3 linked regions of the Ovis aries genome follow. The protein of the gene in region 1 interacts with the protein of each later gene in a biochemical or structural test. Links are inferred from orthologs where the notes say so. Each region holds a gene or a part of one and is shown in the gene's direction. Other genes may lie near its edges.

The links. The genes of interacting proteins can lie anywhere in the genome.
Region 2: the proteins of CREBBP (region 1) and KLF1 form a complex in vitro, tested with the Homo sapiens proteins (2 studies listed by BioGRID and IntAct, with this or other methods). The link is inferred for Ovis aries from reciprocal best matches to the Homo sapiens genes CREBBP and KLF1.
Region 3: the proteins of CREBBP (region 1) and NKX2-1 form a complex in vitro, tested with the Homo sapiens proteins (2 studies listed by BioGRID, with this or other methods). The link is inferred for Ovis aries from reciprocal best matches to the Homo sapiens genes CREBBP and NKX2-1.

Annotation. Positions count from the first base shown.
Region 1 is NC_056077.1:3,652,705-3,656,700, reverse strand, and holds part of CREBBP (CREB-binding protein), read left to right. Parts: intron 1-395; coding exon 396-513; intron 514-1,031; coding exon 1,032-1,203; intron 1,204-1,484; coding exon 1,485-1,529; intron 1,530-3,603; coding exon 3,604-3,728; intron 3,729-3,996. UniProt on the Homo sapiens protein: Acetylates histones, giving a specific tag for transcriptional activation. Mediates acetylation of histone H3 at 'Lys-18' and 'Lys-27' (H3K18ac and H3K27ac, respectively).
Region 2 is NC_056058.1:10,971,784-10,976,402, forward strand, and holds the start of KLF1 (Krueppel-like factor 1), read left to right. Parts: upstream 1-1,481; 5' UTR 1,482-1,542; coding exon 1,543-1,629; intron 1,630-2,283; coding exon 2,284-3,124; intron 3,125-4,619. UniProt on the Homo sapiens protein: Transcription regulator of erythrocyte development that probably serves as a general switch factor during erythropoiesis. Is a dual regulator of fetal-to-adult globin switching.
Region 3 is NC_056071.1:44,440,579-44,445,075, reverse strand, and holds the start of NKX2-1 (homeobox protein Nkx-2.1), read left to right. Parts: upstream 1-1,359; 5' UTR 1,360-2,030; coding exon 2,031-2,131; intron 2,132-2,403; exon of another isoform or gene 2,404-2,502; coding exon of another isoform or gene 2,503-2,579; intron 2,580-3,079; exon of another isoform or gene 3,080-3,168; intron 3,169-3,271; coding exon 3,272-3,657; intron 3,658-4,497. UniProt on the Homo sapiens protein: Transcription factor that binds and activates the promoter of thyroid specific genes such as thyroglobulin, thyroperoxidase, and thyrotropin receptor. Crucial in the maintenance of the thyroid differentiation phenotype.

The DNA of each region.
Region 1 (3,996 bases):
TGATTTCTCCAGCAATTTAAGTTAAATGAAGGGTGACATTAATCAACTCGATTCCGATGGAGTTTTCTTTTTTTTCTCCTTCATTATTTTAATCAAAATTTTTTGTACTTAGTAGTTTAAAGATTAGGAATTCAAAATCATATTATTCTTGAGTTGGTCAAGCACTTATTGTTAATAGCAAAATATTGTTGTGTTTGATTTGTGGATAAATTGGCAGATCAGCATTGTCTCCAGAGAGTGACTGCGCATGAACTAGGCAAGAGATTGGGGGTCTCTCAGCAATGTACTGTGCCCAGAGGTAGACCGCGGTTTCTTCTCTTCCCGGGTCACGTCTGAAATGGCAGGATGTTGACATTGTACTAAAAGTAGGTTGAGAGTACGCGCTGTCCTTTCAGTGTCCAAGCCATCTTCCCGACACCTGACCCTGCAGCCCTGAAGGATCGCCGCATGGAGAACCTGGTGGCCTACGCTAAGAAAGTAGAAGGGGACATGTACGAGTCTGCCAACAGCAGGGTGGGTCAGCGTTCGCGTTCCAGCCGCATGGCCCCCGGGTGACCTGTGACTGCAGGTCTGGACGTGGGGAGGAGGGGGGCTTCCATCAGCCTGCTGGTCTCCTCGCCTGAGGACACTGACCAGGGAGATGTCCCAGCTAAGACTTGAGGTCCTCCCTGCATACCTCTCTTGGTTTGTAACTGCAAAATCTTAAAGTGTCCCCACTACAGGGGTAAATGAAGTTTTTCTAATTTGTGGGTATACTTTATAGTGGAGTGTTGTTATACTATGTTGTCACCTGTGTCAGTGAGTATGCAAGAAGAGGTTCAGCTGTGGAATGAACTGTCATGAGGACTTAGTACCCCCTGACTGTTAAGTCACATAGCATCCCTGGGCTTTGGTTTATGAGTTAGAAGTGCTGAATACTTTACCCAGTGTAAATAATTTTAATTTAAAAGTTCATTAGTTTGTTAGACCCTACAAAACCAGATCAGTTGTTTGTTTGCAAATAACTAGTATTGAATGTTGCTGCTTTTTAGGATGAATACTATCACTTACTAGCAGAGAAAATCTACAAGATTCAAAAAGAGCTAGAAGAAAAGCGGAGATCACGTTTACACAAACAAGGCATCTTGGGTAACCAGCCAGCCTTACCAGCCCCCGGGACACAGCCGCCTGGAATACCCCAGGCGCAGCCTGTGAGACCTCCGAGTAAGACTGCATGTCCCGCCCCGGTCTGTCCCCTCTGTGTCTTTCCGCGTTTGGTGTGCGTTTCTCAGCACACAGAGTTACATTCCCAGGAAACCTGTTGCTTTGAAAGCATGTGGTAGTGGCTGTGTGCTGTGGTGGCCTATGTTTAGACGTTGAGTCTCACAGAAAGGCCCTTTAAAGGGTGTGCTGGCATCAGAGTGCACAGCACTTTTGGATCTGCTCTTCTCTTTAAATCTAAAGGATTATTTTAAGTAACCTCCTTTTTTTTTCTGCCATTGTAGATGGGCCCATGCCTCTTCCAGTGAATCGTATGCAGGTTTCTCAAGGTATTTAACTGTTGTTGTAAATCATATTTTAGCTTAACATTCTGCCACACAAAGTTTATTGGTTTGTCCTCTTCCCTGTGTATTTCTTTCTCTCCATTTTTCCTTCAGTTTTTCTTTTCTAATTGCTTCCCCCACCCCCCTACCCCAGTGATGAGCATGGTGCATGTCCACAGGTAGTATGAACATCTGTTGCATTTGGAAGTTTGGAAATCACAGCAAAGCTCTCCAAGGAGATCAGAAGTAGGCGTTCACTTTTTTTTTTTTTTTTTTTTTGATGGACAAGAGGAAACATTTCTCTTGGAAGAGTCTCAAAAAAAAAAAAAAGCATTGTAGGAGGGGGAAAGAAGCATTTCTGAGCATTTGTAAGTAGGGTGTCAGGCCTATCCTAAAGCCCGAGCACCCTGATTAGGGGGGTGGGAGGGACGGGTGAGGCTGCTCTGGGCTACTGAGCACAGGCGCCATGCCTACCAGGCTCGCCGAGGAGGGCCTGTGCTCCTGGCAACTAGTCTGAGCAGCTTCCAGAGGTTCTTTCTCAAGTTGAGAGTCTTTGGTCGTGGTTGAAGCAGTCATTTGAGTTTGGGGGTGAGGGTCATTTCAGAGTTTTTACAGCTCTTGGCAGGTTGAGACCTGAACAGTAGGATGTTTCTGCTGATTGTGAAATGAGATGGTGACATTATCCAGCAGATTCCAAAGCAGGGCCTTGCTGCTGTGTGTGGAGTAGTTCAGGGAGAGAGTGGTCATTCTAACAGCTGTGGTGATCGTCCTTCACACCACACCAGACCTGGTGGAGCTGCTGATGATACTGCGGAGGAAAGTTTTCAGGGACTTGTTCAGATGAACCAGATGTGAAGAGTGAAAGAAATCAAGAAGGCAGAGAAATTGAGCCTTCGGAGGGGCAGGGTGCTGTATCAGGGACAGGGTGGACGAGTCTGCTGCTCTGGGGTCTGAGAAGGGGGCTGTTGAGCAGAGTGTGGACGGAGGAGCCTTTGAAGGAAGCGCTTGCATGCCCCTGTCAGCGGCACGTCCAGGTCTGTGGAGAGGAACTTGTTACGGTGCCGCTTCTTCGTGCATCTTTTTCGCTTGCTCAGTAAAATCTCCTCTTGTCAATAAAACCCTCCAGAAGAGCAGGGCCCTTTGTTCTGTGGGCTTCCTGGAAAGTCCTAGTTACTCAGGGGGACATTTCTCACTGGTGCTGAGGGGACCGGTGCTCTGTGATGCCCTCTCCTGCTCCACAGTTAAGGCTGTGCCTCAGGATTCTGTTCACGGCCACAGGACTGGGCTAAGTCCTGAGACTTACTGAAGCAGCATTTACATTGAGCTCAGAGTTCACAGAGGATTGTGGGAAATTACAGGCAGAGAGGCTCCGTGGCCCAGAGTCGGGTAGCGGCTGGGGAGGGTTGCAGTTCACGGTGTGGCACCCCTGGGAAGGCCGAGGCAGCCATGAAAGTGAGACCTTTCCAGTCGGCAGAGAGGAGGCTGAAGCTGAGAACCGCCAGCCCTTGGGCACTTTCTAAATGCTTAATGTCCTTGCAAAATTAAAGCCAAGTTTTGAGTCTTATCCCAGATTCTAACAATAAATGTAAGCCCAGCCAAAGAGCTGGAGGGCCTGGGGTGATGGGAGCGGGCTTCCTGCCGGGAGTCAGGTGGTCCAGAAGGCTCTGAGGGGTTGGCTCAGAGGGTGCCCTGGCCTCAGCAGGCCTCCTCCATGCGTGGTGGGTGCTCCTTCCCACCGCCCCACCCACCCATCTGCCCCGTCACTCGGACCCTGGGATGCTCTGGCGCCGAGTGCTGCCTTGGCTTCAGCTGCTCGCAGCTTCCCTGACGCGCCACCTTCCTCTCCTCACGCTGCCCTGCCTGCTCCCCACCCACCGCCTCCCCACCCCATGGTGGTGCCGTTGTTCCTGGATCTGAGCAGTCTGTTGCTCAGCCATCTTTTCTGATTGACTGGTCTCCTTTCAGTTGTGTATGTAGTGTGTGTGTTCCATCTTATTTGGCTTCAAGTTTCTCTAGCAAATCGTCATTCTGTTTTCCTGTGGGTGCTTTTCCTAATGAACTGTTGTGGGTACGTTTACAGGGATGAATTCATTTAACCCAATATCCTTGGGGAACGTACAGTTGCCACAAGCGCCCATGGGACCGCGTGCGGCATCCCCCATGAACCACTCTGTCCCGATGAACAGCATGGGCTCTGTTCCAGGGGTAAGTGCTTGTCCTCCGCTCAGCTGTGCTGAGACGGGCTTGCTGCAACAGGACAGTTCTCCCGCGGGAGCTTGGAGGTTGGGAATCCTGTGGCGCTTGTTCCTTTGGATAGTGTTGTGCTTTGGCAACTCCATCTCGCCCTCTGGTCCTTATTACTACAAGCATTATTTGACCGTCACTTATTTTTACTGAAATGAGAGATTCCTTGGCACCTGTGACTTTGTGAGAAGATGGGAGTTCTGGGGATGTGTGACAGAATGAGAGGAAA
Region 2 (4,619 bases), on another chromosome or scaffold:
AGCACCACCTGGGAAGCCCACTTGTTTCAGTTCAGTTCAGTTCAGTCGTTCAGTCGTGTCTAACTCTTTTCGACCCCATGAATTGCAGCAGGCCAGGCCTCCCTGTCCATCACCGACTCCCGGAGTTCACTCAAACTCATGTCCATTGAGTCGGTGATGCCATCCAGCCATCTCATCCTCTGTCGTCCCCTTCTCCTCCTGCCCTCAATCCCTCCCAGCATCAGGGTCTTTTCCAATGAGTCAGCTCTTCTCATGAGATGGCCAAAGTACTGGAGTTTCAGCTTCAGCATCAGTCCTTCCAATGAACACCCAGGACTGATTTCCTTTAGGAATTTGTGTCATTATACAATTGCATAATGTCTGTGTGCGACTGTGAACTATATGTCTGTGTCATCACCTGGAATCCCTGGGCACCATGGTGGAAGTCTCTGTTGCAGAACCTAGATCTCTCCCCACTGTGAGGTAGAAAGTGAAAGTTGCTCAGTCACGTCTAATTCTTTGCAACCCCATGGACTATACAGTCCATGGAATTCTCCAGGCCAGAATACTGGAGTGGGTAGCCCTTCCCTTCTCCAGGGGATCTTCCCAACCCAGGGATCAAACCCAGGTCTCCTGCATTGCAGGCAGATTTTTCACCAGCTGAGCCACAAGGGAAGTAGTAATTGGGTCACCTCCCAATCAAGTACTTCCTATGGCCTGATGCAACAGTCCCATCCCCCCCAGGCGAGTAGGTGGCCTCCTCGTCCCAAACCCCGCCGCCCCATCTAGAGCAGTTGTAGTTGCTCCAGCCTCAGCCTCCCCATTCCCCCTGCAAGTCGCCTGAGGTGGGGTGAGGGCTGTCCACGGTAAACAGTGACCACTGATTGGCAGGGGCCTCTCCTGCCACTGGTCTCAGACCTGGGGAGCTCACAACCCAGGAAATTGAAAACCAAGTTAATCCCCAGCCCCTGGCCCTCCCACTCACCAGGGACAGAGCCTTGGCTGTTCTGGGCCCCCACCTGATAGCAGCCTCCAACGTCTGGGGAGTCTGATAATGCTTGACTTGGCAGGGAGTTCATGCCAAGTCCCGCCATCAGCATGGTAGCTGCTGTTTATGGTGAAGGGGAGAGCTGCAAGGCCCTGGTCAGGGGCAAGGGGGTCTTGAAGCTCCTTCCTAGAATCCCCATTGTGCCCATCACCTCTTCTCCAGGAAGGTAGCTGAGAACAGGCCTCCAAGTTTCTCCTTCTTTGGGAACACATTGCCTCACTCTGCCCAACCCCTGAACCCCCGTCTCCTGAACCCCTATCCCCTGAACCCTTAGACCCTGAACATCTGATTGGCTTCAGATACACGGTCAGTCTTCAAGACTCAGCCCTGAACAGGCCTGGGTGAAGTCTGTTCCCCAGAAACGGTGACCCCCGCCTTCGCCTGGCCCTTATCAGGGGCTGCAGCCAATCAGCTGAGGGCAGAGAGGAGCCCTTCAAGGGGCCATCAGAGCCTCAGAGCCCACGAGGCCGCCAAGGGAGAGGAGGCCTGAGCCCCAGGGTGGGCACCAGCCAGCCATGGCTGCAGCGGAGACCGCCTTGCCCTCCATCAGCACGCTGACCGCCCTGGGCCCCTTCTCGGACACACAAGAAGACATCCTCAAGGTGGGGTCAGGTGGGGGTCTAGATGGGCCGGCAGGGGTTCTGGGTCCTGGCCACAGAATTGGGGGGCCGGGTCTGCATCTTGCCCTGGAATTCACATCTTGCCCTGCTCAGGACCGGGAGTCCTCAGTGCAGGCCAGGGATCTGAACTTGGTCTAAGGTCCTATTTCTGTCATGGGAGACTGAGGCTGGGAACAGAACACAGGGATCTAGGCTCAGTGAGACACTCCCAGATATAAGAGGGAAATGACAGCTGTGGTGAGGGGACACCCAGGAATTAATCTTGTTAGGGGACCTGGAAGGGGAGGAAGATTCTTGGGGGAAACTGAGGCAAGGCTGAGCCTCCCCTAGCCTTCCATTCTTGGTTCTGCCAACCCTTCCCCCATGCCTGAGCGTGGCAGGAGACTCTAGATAATATAAGCTTTATCTCCTGTCTCCAGCCTGACCCGATAGACGTCTCTGGAGCTGGGGGGGCTGAGGGGGGGAGACGGACAAGTGTGAGGGAGTGGGACAAACTGGCATGACAGAGAAGCAAACAAGACCCCTTTACGGAGCCTCTGGCCAGCCTGCCCCCATCAGGGCATCCGGCCCCCACCGTCTATGGACAGGATACCTTGGTGTCCGCTGAAGCTCCATGTTACCGGCTCCTTCCCCCAGTGGTGGCGCTCTGAAGACGTGCAGGACTTGGGCCCGGGCCCCCCCAACCATACTGGACCACCCCTCCACGTGAGGCCTGAGCTGGAGAACGCACCTGGGGAGGACGAAGATGATGACAGGGACGCAGCTACCCCCTGGGACCTGGATCTCCTCTTCACCAACTTCCCGTGCTCAGAGCCCGGCGGTGCGCCCCAGACCTGCGCGCCTCAGCCTTGCGCTCTGGCGCCCGGAGAGGGTTCCGGAGCGCAATTCCCACCGCCGCCCGAGACTCTGGGCGCGTATGCGGACGGCCCGGGGCTGGTGGCTGGGCTCTTGGGCCCTGAGGAGCACCTGGGCTGGGCGCGCCCGGCCCCACGAACCCCGGCTCCCGATACCTTCGTGGGCCCATCCCTGATCCCGACCCCCGAGCCCAAAGCGCTGCCGTTGCAGCCGTTGTACCCGGGACCGGGCGCGGGTTCCTCCGGCAGCTACTTCCCGAGGACCGGGCTTTCAGTGTCTGCAGCGCCGGGCGCCCCCTACGGGCTGCTGTCCGGGTACCCCGCGCTGTACCCGATGCCGCAGTACCAAGGGCATTTCCAGCTCTTCCGCGGGCTCCAGGCGCCGGCACCTGGCCCCGCCTCGCCCCACTCCTTCCTGAGTTGTCTAGGGCCCGGGACGACGGGTGCAGGACTCGGGGGGACTACAGGAGACCCAGGAGGGACCGCGGAGGCCGCCCCATCCAAGCGCAGCCGGCGATCTTGGGCACGCAAGAGGCAGGCTGCGCACACGTGCACGCACCCGGGATGCGGCAAGAGCTACACCAAGAGCTCGCACCTGAAGGCGCATCTACGCACGCACACAGGTGAGGGGGCGGGCCCCGGTGCAGGGGCTGGGCGGGCTGGGCGGGGCCTTGGGAGCTGGGAGCTGTCGAGGAGCTAGAAACTGGAGCAAGGGGAAGGGCTAAAGCAAAGTCGAAGCAAAGGGCTACGCCGAGGGAGCTGGGATGCTTGGAACTTCAGGAGTCAGCCGAAGAGCAAAGGGGAAGGCGGGTGGGGACAGAGAGAGAACTCGGAAAACATTTCAGGAAACCAACGGCTAAGACCTGGACCAAGGAAGTGCCGAAAAGCAGAGAGCCCGGCAAGCTGTGTAGGGGCGGGGCTAGAGGAGGGGCCGCGGGCGAGAAAGGCGGAATACCAAGGACAGGGCCAAAGACGCAGGGTTCAGGTTTGGGGCAAGTGGGAGTAAGGGGTTCAGGGACCGCCGTGCTCAGACGTGTCCGACTCTTTGCCACCCAATGGACTGTACTCTCTGCCGTGGGGCGGGGGGGGGGGGGTGTCTCCCAGATCCAGGGATCGAACTCGCCTTTCCTGCGTCTCCTGCATCCGCAGGCGGATTCTTTACCACTGCGCAGCCTGGGGCTCGGTTGGTAAAGAATCTGCCTGCAGTGCAGAGACCCGGGTTCGATCCCTGGCTCGGGAAGATCCCCTGGAGAAAGAAATGACAACCCACTCCAATACTCCTGCCTGGAGAATTCCATGGACAGAGGAGCTGGGCAAGCTACAGTCCAGGGGACCGCAAAGACAAATAGTGTGCGACTTACTTTTCATCTGGGAAGCCTTTCAGGGGCCGTAGCCAGGAATATAAAGAGGGAGTGGCTTAGCCAGACTGTAGGGGGCGTGCTGGAGCTCAGGAGGTTTAGTTTGAGGGGCCCAGATGCAGAGGCAGTTCCTGGAGTCTGAAGATAAATAGCTTGGAAACAGAGGAGGGTGGGCACAGGAGGAAAAGCTGGGGACCCAAGGAGCCAAAGAAGGGCTGGGACATGGAATAGAGGGCCAGGAGGAGGAGGAAGGAGGCCTGTGCCTAGGGGTGATGGGGCCACGTGTACAGACCTATCCAGGAACATAGGGAGGAGGGGCCAAGTCTAGCTGAGGGAAAGAAGTAATTACCCGGGACAGGGCGTGGAACACGAATTGGATTTCGGGGCTCAAGGATCAAGGCCAACAACAGGATTGAAGAGCAGCTGGAGGGTCCCCTGGTACAGTAAAGAGCCTGGAACACAGGGAGCAGTGCCAAAGGACAAAAACTGGGAGGGCATTAGTACACTGGGGCAGGACGTGAGGACACCGGAAGCAGGGCCAGCAGCATAGACAGCGCGACTTGTGCCCGGGAAATGAAAAGGAGCCTGGTGCCAGCAGGTACAGAAGAGGTACAGAGGTCGCAGACGTCGGTTCTGGGTGTAGATTCAGGCCATCCCCGAGAGTGAAAGCCTTCTTAAATTTCATGATCTGGGCGCCTCACCGGCCTCACCCTAGGCGCCAGTGGTAAAGAACCTGCCTGCCAGTGCAGGAGACATAAGA
Region 3 (4,497 bases), on another chromosome or scaffold:
TGTGTGTGTGTGTGTGTGTGTGTGTGTGTGTGTGTGTGTGTGTAGGGGCAGAAGAGGCAGGTGCCTCAAGATGCTGCGATGGCCCACGCCAAGTCGAGACAAGAACTGGTGCTAGCGCGCGCAGCCCAATCCCGGCTGCGGCAGGGAGGGGGCGGGGGACAGGGACCCTTACCCTCCACTCCCTCCCTCGAGCTCCCGCTCCCGCTCCGCTCAGTGCCTGAACCCAACGCTAGCCAGCTACCTAAGTGGCTCCGAGTCCTTTCCCTACAGTAAGCTTGGGGTGGGGGCGGGGAACTGTCAGCCACGTGCCTGCTCCGGAGCTGAAAGCTGCGAGGGGACGAAGGCCGAGGAGGCATGGCTCAAGGACTGCGGAAGATTCACCCCGCTAGTACTTTCATGCACCCTGTCTTACTTGGACCTTACAAAAACCTGGTGAAGAATGACCTCCATTTCTAAATGGCATTGAAACCAGGAGAGACTACAACGTCTACACCTAGTGTTTCTTACATTTAGTAATAATATAAAGTAATGGAGAGGGAGAAGACTCGAGACTCGGAGACCCTTCCCACCTTGGCATAAAGACCCTAGTTGAGGCGCAGGCCCAGGGCTGGGGGCTGGCCTGCACACAAGACCTATATTCAGTTTTGTCTGCTCTCTACAGTATTGTCCTCTGTCCTTTCACTTGGATCCAGCGTCATCCTCTTCCCTCCTTGCTCCCTGGACTTAGGCATCACTTTGACCAAGGCACCCTCGATGGGAGTCTGAGTCCTTCTTGAGAGCGCCCCCCAGAGAAGTCTCCTGGTGGGAAAGGCAATGAGCCGATCTGGCACCCGTCTTTCGAAGCATAACTGAAGAGTGCTGTCTCGACCCTCAAACTCCTGCTTGCCTGCCCCAAAGCAGCCAAGGGGGCTGGGAAATATGGCCCTGTGCAGTAGGCAGGAGATGGGGTGCCCTGAGCTTTCTCTCCCCACTTAAATAAGGTGGCGAGGAAACTGAATGTTAGCATGTAAGTTGGCTTTGTATTGAGGGAGTGCAGTTCTAAAGGGGAGGATTGAAATCTTGAAATAAAAAGCCAATAAACAAGTTTCCTTAGTACAATTGCTATTAATGGAAAAGGCATCTAACCTGCTGAATTAAATCGTTCAAAAGCGCCTTTTCATCATCAGGAGCTCCTCTACAAGGAAGGAAACGAAAATATGAAAACAAAAACCCAAATCGAGAAGCCTCCTTAACCGGCCCCCGCAGTGTCTTGACGGCCCCTGCCCGACCAGGGAGCGCTCCGCCCTCCCAACCCCTAGCGCGGAGAAGGAGGCTGAAACAGCCAAGGAGAAAAGAAAACAGAATAAAAACAAAACGTTTAAAATCCAAGAGGAAAAGTCGGAGCGGGTCTCAGGATCTGCACAGCGGAGGGCTCGGCTCCGTGGTCCACTCTGCTGGAGGCCGGGGCCTGGCCGGAGCCGCGCGGCGGATTCCTCCGGCCCGCCCGCCCGCTCGGAAAGCGCAGCCTACAGCTCCTCCTCTCCAGGCGCCCAAGGACCCTCAAGGCGCGGGGCTCACACTTGAAGCCTGGGAACGCGCAGACAGGAAACCCACTTCCTCCTAAGCAGTTTCTTGCTAGCCGGCTGAGAGGCGCCCAATTGAAACAGAATGATCCTCATCTACTAATATCCAGCGTGGCCACAAAGCGACTGGCCATTTACGCCGCCACTTTAAACAAAGATATTTGGTTATTCCCGGGAAGCAAGTGCACTTTTGCATGGCTGAGCTCCGGGTGGAGGCAAGCCTCAGCCCAGCCTCCCGCCAGCTGGGCTGCTCACGCCAGGGGATTCGCCCCCTCCCGGCCGGCTAGTCCAGCCGGGGTTCAGGCTCAGTCCCACCCGGCAACAGGCGAGCCGGTTCTCACGCCGCTCCCTGCCCAAGGCCTCCCTGAAGCACTGAGGGGGAAAAACAGTGTGACCCCGGGCTGGGGTGCTGGGCTGTGATGTCCTCGGAAAGTCACCTCCCGTCCCAGACCTCCCCGTGTCTGGACGATGGGCGAGGGTCGGGGACACCAGGTTTGTTCGAGGTGGAGCGACTTCAGCGACGTCCCTTCGCATGAATTCCCGCAGCTTCTCAGCTCGGGCGGCCAGTGGTGGGTCCTTGCCTTAGCTGGGGGTGGGGGTGGGGAAGCATAGCCGTGTGGGGGTTGGGGGGCGGGGTGGGCATGAGGCCGAAGGCCCTGGGCCTCTGAGAAGACCCTGAGCTGGAGGGAAGGGGGGGCGCGGGGATCTGGGACAGCCTGTCGGCGGCAGCCGATCCCCCCTTGCTCAGCGCCCCCTCCACCCGCGGGGATTCTCTCTCGGGTAGGGGGGAAAGGGGGCGGGGAGCAGAGGTGTCCTTCTGACGGAGGCAGAAGAGGCAGACAGACTGACAGACAAGCAGACCAACAGTGCGGCCCCGGGGTGCGGCCCCTGACTCCCGAGCTCCTTTGGTGGCGACTGGGGCTCGGCGCCGCGAAGCCAGATGTGGTCCGGAGGCAGTGGGAAGGCGCGGGGCTGGGAGGCCGCGGCGGGAGGGAGGAGCGGCCCCAGCAGGCTCAGGTGAAACCCCCACCCCGTCCTCGGCCCACTCCCTGTCCCCGCCCCGGGAGCCCCGACCGAATGGGAAAGTGGTTCACTTTGTAACTCCGCAAGTTGGTTGCAAAGCAGCATTCACCTTCCTTCCTCCCCAGCAGCCCTCCTCCTCGGCTACTCCCCATCCCACCTCTTGCCCTCCCCTCTCTCGGTTCCCTCCTCCTTTTCCTCCCCCCGACTCCGCACCCCCCCCTCCCGCGCGCCAGCGTACCCCACAAAAATGAGGGTAGGGGGTCCGGGGGAGAAATGCTTTGGGTCGCGTCTCTGCCTCTCTCTCTCTCTGTCTCTCTCTCTCCCTCTTTGAGACCTAAAAATCCTGACAAGTGAAACTTAAAGGTGTTTACCTTGTCATCAGCATGTAAGCTAATTATCTCGGGCAAGATGTAGGCTTCTATTGTCTTGTTGCTTTAGCGCTTACGCCCCGCCTCTGGTGGCTGCCTAAAACCTGGCGCCGGGCTAAAACAAACGCGAGGCAGCCCCCGAGCCTCCACTCAAGCCAATTAAGGCGGACTCGGTCCACTCGGTTACGTGTACATCCAACAAGATCGGCGTTAAGGTAACACCAGAATATTTGGCAAAGGGAGAAAAAAAAAAAAAAAGCAGCGAGGCTTCGCCTTCCCCCTCTCCCTTTTTTTTCCTCCTCTTCCTTCCTCCTCCAGCCGCCGCCGAATCATGTCGATGAGTCCAAAGCACACGACTCCGTTCTCAGTGTCTGACATCTTGAGTCCCCTGGAGGAAAGCTACAAGAAAGTGGGCATGGAGGGCGGCGGCCTCGGGGCTCCGCTGGCGGCTTACAGGCAGGGCCAGGCGGCACCGCCGGCCGCGGCCATGCAGCAGCACGCCGTGGGGCACCACGGCGCAGTCACCGCCGCCTACCACATGACGGCGGCGGGGGTGCCCCAGCTCTCGCACTCCGCCGTGGGGGGCTACTGCAACGGCAACCTGGGCAACATGAGCGAGCTGCCGCCGTACCAGGACACCATGCGGAACAGCGCCTCGGGCCCCGGATGGTACGGCGCCAACCCAGACCCGCGCTTCCCCGCCAGTAAGTGAGGCCGCCCCACCGCGGGGCCGCGGGTTGAGCGCAGGAGGCGCGGGGAAGACCCGCCGGGAAGGCGCGGCGCCCGCCGGCTGCGCGCTGGGCATCAGAGGTGGGCGGCCGGGCAGTGGCGCCAAGGAGTCGGGTGTAGGAGCTGGGGAGTCTGCCCTGGTTGAGCTGAGGGGTCCAAGAAGAGGGACTCGGTAGCCCTGGAGTCCTGAGGGCAGGAACTAGTATTTGGCGTTTGCCAGATGCGGCCAATTGGCCGCTCTGCTCCGGCGCGGGAGAGCGCGGAGGCAGGCGTCCCCCCAGCTAAGAGAGCCGGGATGAGCAGAGGTCGGAGGGGCGCGGCCTGGCCGGGAGGGAGGGTGCCCTGCTGGGACGCGCTCAGGCCCCGGGCCTGGCCCGCTCTCCAGGCTAGGCAGGTGGGAGGGCGCGCGGCTCCAGACGGGGTTCTAAATGGGCCGAGCCGGTGCCCTCAGCGGGCTGACAGGAGCCAGCGGCCAAGGCACAAAGAGTCTGGGGTCTCAAGCTTTCGAAAATGAACACCTCCCTCTCCCAAGCTCCCACGGCTGGGTGTCTACCGTTAGACCCCGGCTCCTGACGTGAGCCCGGTTTGCTGCCGGCTAACCCCACGAATCCGGAGGGCTGGGCAGGAAAGGAACAGGGAAGGTTTTCTCCACTCTGCTTTTATGGGTAAAGCACTGAGACAGAGGGAGGTAGCCGGGGTTGAGGCGGGGAGCTCTGCAGTACACCCCCTCGACGGCGCGGCCTCGAGGCAGGCGCCTTCGATCGCCGCGGCTGGGCCTCTCAGGGTGGAGGCGACCTAGGTGAGAAGGGCGCCGT